Linked DNA regions of Macaca fascicularis. The protein of the gene in region 1 purifies or fractionates together with the protein of each later gene. This does not show direct contact. Links are inferred from orthologs where the notes say so. Each region holds a gene or a part of one and is shown on either strand. Other genes may lie near its edges.

Region 1 (3,648 bases):
ACTGACCACTCTGGAGGAGGTGGTCTGGGGTCGTGGATGGAGGATTCTCTGAGCTCTGTGTGTGAAGAAATCTTCAGGGAAAGGCTGACGTCCTGTTGTCGAACAGCACCTAGTAGGAGGAGGGCTTGCGCTAAGAGAACATACAAGCAGGACTTTGTTGACAAGCTGCAGCGATGGCTGCAGAAAAACGGTTCACCTGGATGCCCATCTTGGGTGGCGTAGGTGTGCTGTCCGACGAACTGTAGAATGTGCACTGCCCGTAGCTTCCTGCCTGACTCCAGCATCACATATGTGTGCTTTCAGTGAAGAAGAGGAACGCTTTTGAAACCCTTTTTTTTTTTTTTTTTTTTGATACAATGTTGTTCTGTCACCCAGGCTGGAATGCAGTGGCACAATCATGGCTCACTGCAGCCTTTCCCTCTGAGGCTCAAATGTTCCTCCTGCCTCAGCCTCCCAAGTAGCTGGGATTACAGGCATGAGTCACTGCACCCAGCTGTTTCACTTTTTTTGTTTGTTTGTTTTGTCTGTTTTTTTTTTTTTTTTTTTTTTTTTTTTTTTTTTAAGGCAGAGTCTCGCTCTGTCGCCCAGGCTGGAGTGCAGTGGCGCGATCTCGGCTCACTGCAAGCTCCGCCTCCCAGGTTCACGCCATTCTCCTGCCTCAGCCTTCTGAGTAGCTGGGACTACAGGCGCCCGCCACCGTGCCCGGCTAATTTTTTGTATTTTTAGTAGAGACAGGGTTTCATTGTGGTCTCGATCTCCTGACCTTTGTGATCTGCCCACCTCGGCCTCCCAAAGTGCTGGGATTACAGGCTTGAGCCACCGTGTCCGGCCTTTGTTTGTTTTTTTGAGATGGAGTTTCGCTCTTGTCGCCCAGGCTGGAGTGCAGTGGCACCATCTTGGCTCACGCGTTCTCCTGCCTCAGCCTCCCTAGTAGCTGGGATTGCAGGTACCCGCCACCGCACTCAGCTAATATTTTACATTTTTAATAGAGATGGGGTTTCGCTATGTTGGTCAGGCTGGTCTCGAATGCCTGACCTCAGGTGATCTACCTGCCTAAGCTTCCTAAAGTGCTGGGATTACAGACATGAGCCACCACACCCGGCTTTTTTTTTGTTTTTTTTTTGTTTTTTGAGACAGGATCTCACTCTGTCACCCAGGTGGGAGTACAGTGGCACCATCTTGGCTCACTGCAACCTCTGCCTCCTGGGCTCAAGCAATCCTTCTGCCCCAGCCTTCTCCCGAGTAGCTGGGACTACAGGCATTTGCCACCATGCCCAGCCAATTTTTGTATGTTTTGTGGAGATGGGGTTTCACCATGTGGCCCGGGCTTGACTTTTGTTTTTAACTTAATCTCATAAATCTAGATTGGGCCTTGCTTTAGCAGTTAATGAGAAAATATGAGGTGCTTTAGTTGACCTCAGAGCTAATTTGAGTCATGAAGGTAATTTATTAGCTAAACATGTTAGCATGAACTCTGGGCTGCTTTGATATGGAAGTGCTGTTTGGGGTAAAGGAGGCTGTGGTCTCCCCACAATCTGTGTTGCAGAGGGGCATAATTACAAATGAAGCAAAAGGATAGCACATATTTATGAACCCAGTTGGAAGCAGCATTTTGTTGCATAATTTCAATGATTCCCTGTAAAGGTATGTAATATTAAATTTCAGGCATGGTGCGGTGGCTCCCAGCACTTTTGGAGGGCAAGGTGGGCAGATCACCTGAGGTCAGGAGTTTGAGACCAGCCTGGCCAACATGGTGAAACCCTGTCTCTACTAAAAACACAAAAATTAGCCGGGGGTTGTGGTGCATGCTTGTAATCCCAGCTACTCGGGAGGCTGAGTCAGGAGAATCGCTTGAACCGGGGAGGCAGAGGTTGCAGTGAGCAGAGATCACACCACTGCACTCCAACCTGGGCAACAGAGCAAGACTCTATCTCAAAAAAATACATACATACATACATAAAATAAATTTCAGGCATCAATTAAGACCTCATATTCTAGAGCCAGACCATGCTGGGTTTAAATCCTTGGTCTGCTCATATTCACTGCAAGCCTCTGAAAGACTGTCACAACCTCTGTAGGCCTCAGTTTCCTCCTCTGTAAGGTGGTGAGAGTAATACCACCACATAGGCTATGAGGACATGGTGAGAATTCACTGATCCAGCACATTGATATTGAAATGCTACTGGGTGCTGTTGCAGACACAACGCCTTATACATAGGACAGTGCATGAAAAATTAGCCTTAGCCATTGGTATTAATATCACTGTTACTGGCTGGGTGCATGCGGTGGTTCATGCCTGTAATCCCAACACTTTGGGAGGCCAAGACGGGTGGATCACTTCAGGTCAGGAGTTCAAGACCAGCCTGGCCAAATATGGTGAAACTTGGTCTCTGCTAAAAATACAAAAATTAACCGGGCATGGTGGCACGTGCTTATAATCCCACCTACTCAGGAGGCTGAGGCAGGAGAATCACCTGAATGCAGGAGATGGAGGTTGCAGTGAGCAGAGATCACACCACTGCACTCTAGCCTGGGCAACAGAGCGAGACTCTGTCTCCAAAAACAAAAAAAAATCACTATTCACTATTGCTGTCTTGCTTGCGTCTTGATGTCACAGATGATCATGGTTATTAGTGATCATTTTTTTGTCTGTCCCTGCAGGAACCTAGTGCTGAAGACAATAAAAAGGGTCCATTGACAATTGCACAGAAAAAAGCCCAGAACATCATGGAGTCCTTTGAAAATCCATTTAGAATGGTGAGTCGTAGTTTTGTGTACTCAGGGCTGACAGGATATATAGAGATGCCTACAGCTGTACATGCTTTCACCTGGGAAGGAAGCCTCTGAAGCCAGTGTGTCAGCTGCCCTGGTGTCCAGGCAAAGACGCTGACATGGCACCAGCAGCCCCCCATCTGAGCACCTCTGCGCTGTGGGCCTAGATTCCGTTCCCAGCAACGTTTCACACAGCCGTTTCCTTCCTCCAGTTTCTGCCCTCACTAGGACACCGTGCCGTCTCTCAGGCAGCGAAGTTCGATCCATCAACAAAAATCTATGAAGTAAGTGGACTTGTCACCTGTTCTAAAAGAGACTTTTTTGTTGTTATTTGTTTTTTTTTTTGTTTTTTGAGACGGAGTTTCATTTTGTCACCCAGGCTGGAGTGCAGTGGCACGATCTCGGCTCACTGCAGCCTCCACCTCACAGGTTCAAGCAATTCTTCTGCCTCAGCCTCCCGAGTAGCTGGGATTACAGGCACCTGCCATCATGCCCGGCTAATTTTTGTAGAGATGGGGTGTCACCATGTTGACCAGGCTGGTCTCGAACTCCTGACCTCAGGTGATCCACCCGCCTCGGCCTCCCAAAGTGCTGGGACTACAGGCGTGAGCCACTGCGCCTGGCCCTAAAAGAGACTTTCTAAGAAAAGGGGATTTCCTAATTATTCAGACCAGGTTTCTGTTGTAGACAAGTCCATCTCATCTGTGAATCCCCTGACAATGAAGGCAAAAGCCCTTTATTTTCTAGCGTTGTTTCTAGGGAAAGGGTCCAGAACTTCAGTGAGATTCTTAAAAGCACTGGGAAACCTTGTAAGAAACAAATCTTCACTTGCGGTTTTTTAATTGAGGTTTAATCTATATGTAGTAAAGTACACAA
Region 2 (3,689 bases), on another chromosome or scaffold:
CACTGCGCCCAGCCTGCCTTGGCCTCTTAAAGTGTAAGAATTACCAGTGTGAGCCATTGTGCCCCGCCAGAAATACATTTATGTAGCTTGTGGCTATCATACTGGACACTGCAGTTCTGGCATGGTCATGATTTCAGCACTGAATGGGCATTCTAAGCATGGAAGTTAGGACAAACTTACCTTACAGGTTACAATAGCTCCGACATCTGGCAGTAACTGGGACTCTGTTTCTCTTACTACAGACACCACAGGAAGCTACGGAGGGAAAAAGAAAAAACTGAAATGTCCTGGCTAACTCTTGGGTCAAAGCATTTGTGTCTTGAGAGTAATATAGGAATGTCTTGGTACACAGGTGAGAGCTGGAGTATGCATTCATTTATAGGCCAGAGCAGAAGGCCTTAGAAATTTTAGGAAATAGGAGGACCAGGGGGCTACAGAATGCTGCTAGAAGATGTAAACCTCTAAACTTCTTTTTTTGTTGTTGTCGTTGGAGATGGAGTCTTGCTCTGTTGCCCAGGCTGGAGTGCAGTGGCATATTCTCGGCTCACTGCAAGCTCCACCTCCCGGGTTCATGCCATTCTCCAGCCTCAGCCTCCCAAGTAGCTGAGACTACAGGCACCTGCCACCACGCCCGGCTAATTTTTTTTGTAGTAAATCCCTAAACTTCCAATAAGTTTTCTGGTGATTCTCTCAGAATTTCTTGGTATACAACTATATTGCCTATAATCATTGACAATTTTACTTTTTTTGGTTTTTTTTTTGAGATGGAGTTTCACTCTTGTTGCCCAGAGTGGAGTGCAATGGCGCCATCTCGGTTCACTGCAACCTCCACCTCCTGGGTTCAAGTGATTCTCCTGCCTCAGCCTCCCGAGTAGTTGGGATTACAGACGCCTGCCACCATGCTCGGGTAATTTTTTGTATTTTTAGTAGAGATGGGGTTTCACCATGTTGGTCAGACTGGTCTCGAACACCTGACCTCAGGTGATCAACCCACCTTGGCTTCCCAAAGTGCTGGGATTACAGGCGTGAGCCACTACATCTGGCTGACAATTTTATTCTTTCCTCCAAAGTTATACTGCTTCTTTCTGTTTCTTATTTTACTGCACAGGCTGAAATTTCCACAGAAATGTTACAAATAGTAGCTACACTTGTTTTAAGTGAATACTTGCAGAGTTTTCTCTTTGAGCATGGTATTGGCTGTTAGTATGAGACAGATATTTTGAGCCTCATCTTTTAACAATCTCTCCGTTGCTTACAATGCTTCAGCTCTCCTGGCCTTCTTTCAGTTTCCCCAACTTACTAAATTCTTCCCACTTTCAGATCTCTCTTCAACCTATTCTTTTTGCCAGAATTGCACTCTCTCCACCCACCTGACTCTAACCTACTCTTTAGATGATTCAGCTTCAATGTCACTTCTGCTGACTAGGATGGATTTGCCTGTTACATGTTCTTAAGGTGCCCTGTAATATTCTTTCAAAGCAGCCACCACATGTGTAACCATATGCTTATTTGAGCATTTATTTGTTTACAATTTGTGTCTGTGTCCTTTGATAGCAGAAACCAAGTCAGCGCTGTGCCTGACACATGAAAATACTCAAGTGGTATCTATCAAATGAACAAACTCAGGACTGTTAAGGACATTCCCAACAATGACTGAATAGAAAGCCCCTTGAGTCAGACGGCTTAAGTTACTTACTCAAAGCAGAATCGAGGTCAAGTTAGCCAGAACCTAACGGTTCTAATTCTGAATCCTCTTTCTACTGTGCTCCTTCAAATATTGCTTATATGATCCTGAGCTAATCCTGGATCAATCTCTAAAACTAGAAAGGTAGGTATTACGCATTCAACAAACATTTATTGAGGAGCTGCTTTGTGCTAGATACTGATGGTATGGTGGTAGCACCTGCACTTCGTGGAACTTAGATTTAAGCAAGGGAGAAGTCTAGTGGGAAACATACCTGAGTGTCTAATCATATGCTGACATAAGTGCTTGGAAGAAAAGGGACAGAGTTTTTTGTAAGTCTTTAACAAAACAAACAAAAACAAAACATCCCACAAAACTCCTTTCCTCAATTAGTGGGTCCAGAAGGGCTTCTCTGAGGTGATAATACAGAAACTAACGGAGGTAGGAATTAAACAGGCCTAAGAAGACAGAAGCGTTCCAGATAGATGGCATGTTACAAAGGCTCTGTAGCAGGAGAAAGCTTGGCACATTACCGACACTGAAAGAAGCTAGTGTGTTACAAATTTTTTTAAAAGGGCAAGCCAAAACTGTGATTATAACTTTTACAAATAGAAAAGACTGTATGATTAGATTGCGTCAGTGAGGTGGAGATAGTGGCACTAGATAAAGCCGGAGAGGTAAGCAACATTCATACAGTATACAACGCACTGCTGGGCTGAGCTGGGCTGGGTTACTGAGTTCGCATCTGCTTTTGTCCCAACCTCCCTCCCCGAGGGTCAGCAGCACAACCAAGCGAGATCAACACAACTAGTGTGTGGTGGCTAAGTGCACAACAGCGGCGATACGGCTAGAAGAAACTAAGAGACCAACATTGTACCACTAAGGCTCTAAAGACGCGTCCGCAGTGCCCATGCCTAAGGACTGGAACTCAAGGGCAGCCTAAGGGAAAAACAGAGAGAGAGGAGACGGCATGCCGCTTCCTTTACCGCGCCGTTCTCGCTGCTCTTCATCAGGCAGCCGGCAAGCGACGAAAAGATGTAGCCGTGGCGGGTGTAGGTGCCGCTGCCCGGGCTGCCCTCCTCCAAGTTACACAGACGTTCGCCTGCAGAAAAAATGCTGCATCGGTCATGGGCCCCCAGAAACTGCAGGCCGTCCAGGCTTCTTGCTTCGGCCCCTATCCAGGACTCTGTACGGGAAGCGCTCACTTACCGGGAATACAGTATCTCACAGGTGGTGCCATGATTGCCGCTGTCCCAAAACCCGGATGAAAACGAAATCGATTTCTCATTGGCCAAACCCAGGCACAGTTCCGCAGTAAGATACGCGTCAATTGGTGTTCTTTATCCTTGCGTGTAAACTCCATTTCCCAGGTTACCCCGGGACAAATCCGGGGGCGGAACTTCAGCGCTCCATGCTTGCGCCTGCGCGTGTGGTTGAGGATGGGCTGGCGGCAGGTCCGGGTCCGCTGGGTGGCACTGCAGGCGGCGGGCCATGGTGGTTTGGATTGAGCCGGGCCCGGCCGGGGCGCCGAGTCGGAGGCGGTGGCAGTGAGCGGCGGCAGAGGCTGCGGGGCTCGGTTTGGCTGACTGGGGAGTCGGCAGGCGGCAGGTAAGGGCGAAGCCTCGGCCCTTGCTCCCCATCCTAGTCCCTTTTTCTGGGTCGGGCAATGCCCTGGGGCCTTGTCTTGAGTCCGGGTTCCTGCTCTCTCCTCGCCCTGCCCTGCGGGGCTGCGCCCTCCTCAGCCGGAGCGCACCTTGCGAGCAACCGTTACGTTCAGAGCAGGAAGGAAGGAGGTCAAGCGACCCAACTCGTCTGTTTCACAGATGTGGAACCTCAGATTCAGAGACCGGGTTTGACTTGTCCAAAATCTTCAAGATAGAGCCCAAACTGGAACCCGCGATTTTTGACTTCCAGTCCATCGCAGTTTCACCTCGCGGCTGTCATTGAGAAATAAAACCTTTTCCCGGTTTTTGTTTTGTTTTGTTTTTGAAAAGGAGTCTCGCTC
Region 3 (3,648 bases), on another chromosome or scaffold:
TAGCCTGTGCTTTAGGCTTTTGTTAATGATGTTAACTTTTAGCCCAGGGAGTGGAAGAGGTGTTGTTCACATCAAGATATTAATGACAGGCCGAGTGTGGTGGCTCATGCCTGTAATCCCAGCGCTTTGGAAGGCCAAGGAGGGAGGATTGCTTGAGCCTAAGAGTTCAAGACCAGCCTGGGCAACATAGCAAGACCCCCTCTCTACAAAAAAATAAAAATAAAAAATTAGCCGGGCATGGCGGCACATGCCTAGCTACTCAGGAGGCTGGGGCCGGAGGGTTGCTTGAGCCCAGGAGCTCAAGGCTACAGTGAGCTCTGATCACACCACTGCATTCCAGCCTGGGTGACAGTGCACGACTCTGTCTCTATTATATGTTATTTAAAATTTTTTTTTTTTTTTTAAGACAGAGTCTTGCTCTGTTGTCCAGACTGGAGTGCAGTGGCGTGATCTCAGCTCACTGCAACTTCCGCCTCCCGGATTCAAGCAATTCTGCTTTAGCCTCCCGAGTAGCTGGGATTACAGGTGTGTGCCATGCCCTGGTAATTTTTGTATTTTTAGTAGGGACGGGGTTTCACCATATTGGCCAGGCTGGTCTTGAACTCCTGACCTCAGGTGATCTGCCCACCTTGACCTCCCAAAGTGCTGGGATTATAGGCATGAGCCACCATGCCTGGCCTTTAATTTAATTTAATTTAATTTATTTTTTTGAGACGGAGTTTCGCTCTTGTTGCCCAGGCTGGAGTGCAATGGTGCGATCTTGGCTCACCACAACCTCTGCCTCCTGGGTTCGAGCGATTCTCCTGCCTCGGCCTCCTGAGTAGCTGGGATTACAGGCACCTGCCACTACGCCCAGCTAATTTTGTATTTTTAGTAGAGACGGGGTTTCTCCATGTTGGTCAGGCTGGTCTAGAACTCCCGACCTCAGGTGATCCACCCGCCTCAGCCTCCCAAAGTGCTGGGATTACAGGCATGAGCCACCGCGCCTGGCCTTCTGTCTCTATTTTTTTAAAAAAGATATTCATGACAACCAAGGGGAGAAGTGAGGTCCCAGTGATGTCCTCTGGGTCTGTCTAAGATTGTTGAGCCTGGACCATTGGAGAGGGGAGGAAAAGATGGAGGTGTGGGGTCAAGGGGCAGAGGCTGCAGAGGACAGGACAGTGTGTGGCCGAGGCTACTGTTTGTTCCTTCATCACCCTGGCCAGGCTGAGGTCCAGGCAGTGTTCTCTGATGGAGCTGTCTCTCTGCACACGAGGAGCCTGAAATATGGAAAAGTAAGTTGGGCTCTTGATGTTCCTGTTTGCTGACTGAGATTGCAAGGCTATTTCTTAATCCCTATAGCTCTCTGGAATTCTGGCCTAAAGAACCCCAGTAGCTAAGCATTAATAGAGGTTGGCATCCCACAAACTGATCGTGTTCCTTAAACATAACATGAGGGTTCACAGGTCAGGGTTCACAGGGTCATGGGTCAGTAGCTTTGTAAAGAACAAGTTTTATCCTTTTTCTCCAGGGAGACTGACTCTTTGGACAGAGGAGCCCGTCCAACTGTGGGCTGGGAGGTGCAGCTGTCTCTCTCCCTCCAGGGGGCGCTGCAGCTCAGCACTGGGGCCGGGGCTGAGGCGGTCCTGGGAACAAAGGGAGGCTGGGCCTGGAGAAACAACCCTTGGACAAGCGTCCAGTCAGTCCAGTGGATGTTATTGCTGGCAAAGCTTGCTCTGTCATCTGAGCCTCTAAATGGAATTTCACTGCTTTTCTTGTACGAGGTTGCATTATTGAAGCTATTTATTATTTTAAGGAGAGCATACTTCCTAAAACAAATTAGGATTTACTAGTCTCTCAGCTTTATCTGGGTGAACACTTTTATTTTCTGAGTGGAACAAAACCTCTTCCCTTAATGGAGTGGCTGCAGCCAGCCACGTTCAAGTACATGGAGTAGGCAGAGGACTGCTGCAGTATGCTGACTTTCGCAACCCTGGGTCCTGTGGACTCGCCCTTGGCAGGACATGCACTTGAGCTGGCCTGCCAGGACCAGACATGGATTTGCACCCAGCTCCACCCAGCTCCTTACCTACCCAGAGGCACACATCTCACAGGCAAGATGAGTGTTTGGGGTTCAGGTATGAGCTAGGGTCCTGGAACAACACAGTGCTACTGGACCAGCAGGAGGCTTCAGCTCCCTCATTGGCTTCAACTTCTCTAATGTCTGGCACCTGAGTTCTGGCTTAGAGTGCAAGGGAGACTGTAAAGGGAAATGACAGAGAAGAGCATTGAAAGTCACCTTCTGCTGGGATGTATGAATAGCCTCTGAGTCCCCAAGTGTTCTCTGCAAAAATGTGTACTATGGGTGTGCGTATAGGCGACAGCAATTGTAAACAGGAAGGACACCAATTTGAATATACTTAGGATGTGTATTCTGTAGTCTCCTTTTCATTCATCCCACTGATGATCCTGTAGTGACCTAGCTTTGTGATGTATTTCTTTAGCTAGGTCAGGGGGTTTTGGTCCAGGTTTCCCCCTCCCTGGTGAAACGGCAGAAGACCCACTTCCATGATTTGCCATGTGGTGCCTCAGTGATTCTCGGTAACAACGGCTTCATCTGGATTTACCCAACACCTGAGCACAAAGAAGAGGAAGCAGGGGGCTTCATTGCAAACCTGGAGGTGAGCAAACACTGTGGCCACTGTCGGTGGGAAGGATGGGACTCAGTCTTTGCTGTGTTTTTGTGGCCAGTGAAATTGGTGGTTTTTAGCTCTATTACTGCTGTAGGCTGAGTCACTTTGACTTTCCATCAAGGTGTATTCATGAACCCCATATTATCTTCTCTCTTCTAAGGAGATGAACTCAGTGAATGGTTCGATGTTTGTTGGTGGCGATGGCAAAGTTGCAGGGTAACGCCGAAGAGCCACTGAAGAAGCCATTCTTTTTTCTGTTTGTTTGTTTGTTTGTTTTGTTTTGAGACAGAGTCTCACTCTGTAGCCCAGGCTGGAGTGCAGTGGCGCCATCTCGGCTCACTGCAAGCTCCGCCTCCCGAGTATAAGAGATTCTCCTGCCTCAGCCTCCCGAGTAGCTGGGATTACAGGCGTGCCCCACCATGCTCTGCTAATTTTTGTATTTTTAGTAAAGATGGGGTTTTACCATGTTGGTCAGGCTGGTCTCGAATTTCTGACCTTGTGATCCACCCGCCTCGGCCTCCCGAAGTGCTGGGATTACAGGCATGAGACACTGCGCCCTGCCCCATTCCTTTTAATCTCCCTTGGAGTTAGCTGTTTGGTTGGTTTGGAGTTCCAGGGTGATATTTTCTGATTCATAAGTAATTTATTTGTGATTTTCTGTGGCTGGTCACGTATTTTGGTCCTGTTTATATTTCCCTTCCCTTCTCCTCTGTGTCTCCTTATAGCCTGTCTCTCTTGCTGATCGAGAGGTGATATCCCGGCTTCGGAACTGTGTCATCTCGCTGGTAACTCAGAGGATGATGCTGTATGATACCAGCATCCTCTACTGCTATGAAGCATCCCTTCCACATCAGGTACTCTCCTCAGGACCTCTCACTTCTTCATTGATCTGTGAGCTGCTCTGTTGTTTGCGCAGAGACAATGTGCGTGTCTCCCAATACTTTCCAGACATCCATCAGTATGAACTGGCCTGAAA

Evidence for each region.
Region 2: the proteins of EXOSC10 (region 1) and EXOSC1 purify together in Homo sapiens (co-immunoprecipitation; 8 studies listed by BioGRID and IntAct, counting the BioPlex papers as one, with this or other methods). This does not show direct contact. The link is inferred for Macaca fascicularis from reciprocal best matches to the Homo sapiens genes EXOSC10 and EXOSC1.
Region 3: the proteins of EXOSC10 (region 1) and EXOSC2 fractionate together in Homo sapiens (co-fractionation; 9 studies listed by BioGRID and IntAct, with this or other methods). This does not show direct contact. The link is inferred for Macaca fascicularis from reciprocal best matches to the Homo sapiens genes EXOSC10 and EXOSC2.

What each region holds. Positions count from the first base shown.
Region 1 is NC_088375.1:223,724,511-223,728,158, forward strand, and holds part of EXOSC10 (exosome complex component 10), read left to right. Parts: intron 1-2,661; coding exon 2,662-2,757; intron 2,758-2,984; coding exon 2,985-3,056; intron 3,057-3,648. UniProt on the Homo sapiens protein: Catalytic component of the RNA exosome complex which has 3'->5' exoribonuclease activity and participates in a multitude of cellular RNA processing and degradation events.
Region 2 is NC_088383.1:106,397,288-106,400,976, forward strand, and holds the start of EXOSC1 (exosome complex component CSL4), read right to left. Parts: upstream 2,947-3,689; 5' UTR 2,925-2,946; coding exon 2,894-2,924; intron 2,787-2,893; coding exon 2,671-2,786; intron 256-2,670; coding exon 181-255; intron 1-180. UniProt on the Homo sapiens protein: Non-catalytic component of the RNA exosome complex which has 3'->5' exoribonuclease activity and participates in a multitude of cellular RNA processing and degradation events.
Region 3 is NC_088389.1:13,178,355-13,182,002, reverse strand, and holds part of EXOSC2 (exosome complex component RRP4), read left to right. Parts: intron 1-1,205; coding exon 1,206-1,274; intron 1,275-2,483; coding exon 2,484-2,660; intron 2,661-3,397; coding exon 3,398-3,526; intron 3,527-3,648. UniProt on the Homo sapiens protein: Non-catalytic component of the RNA exosome complex which has 3'->5' exoribonuclease activity and participates in a multitude of cellular RNA processing and degradation events.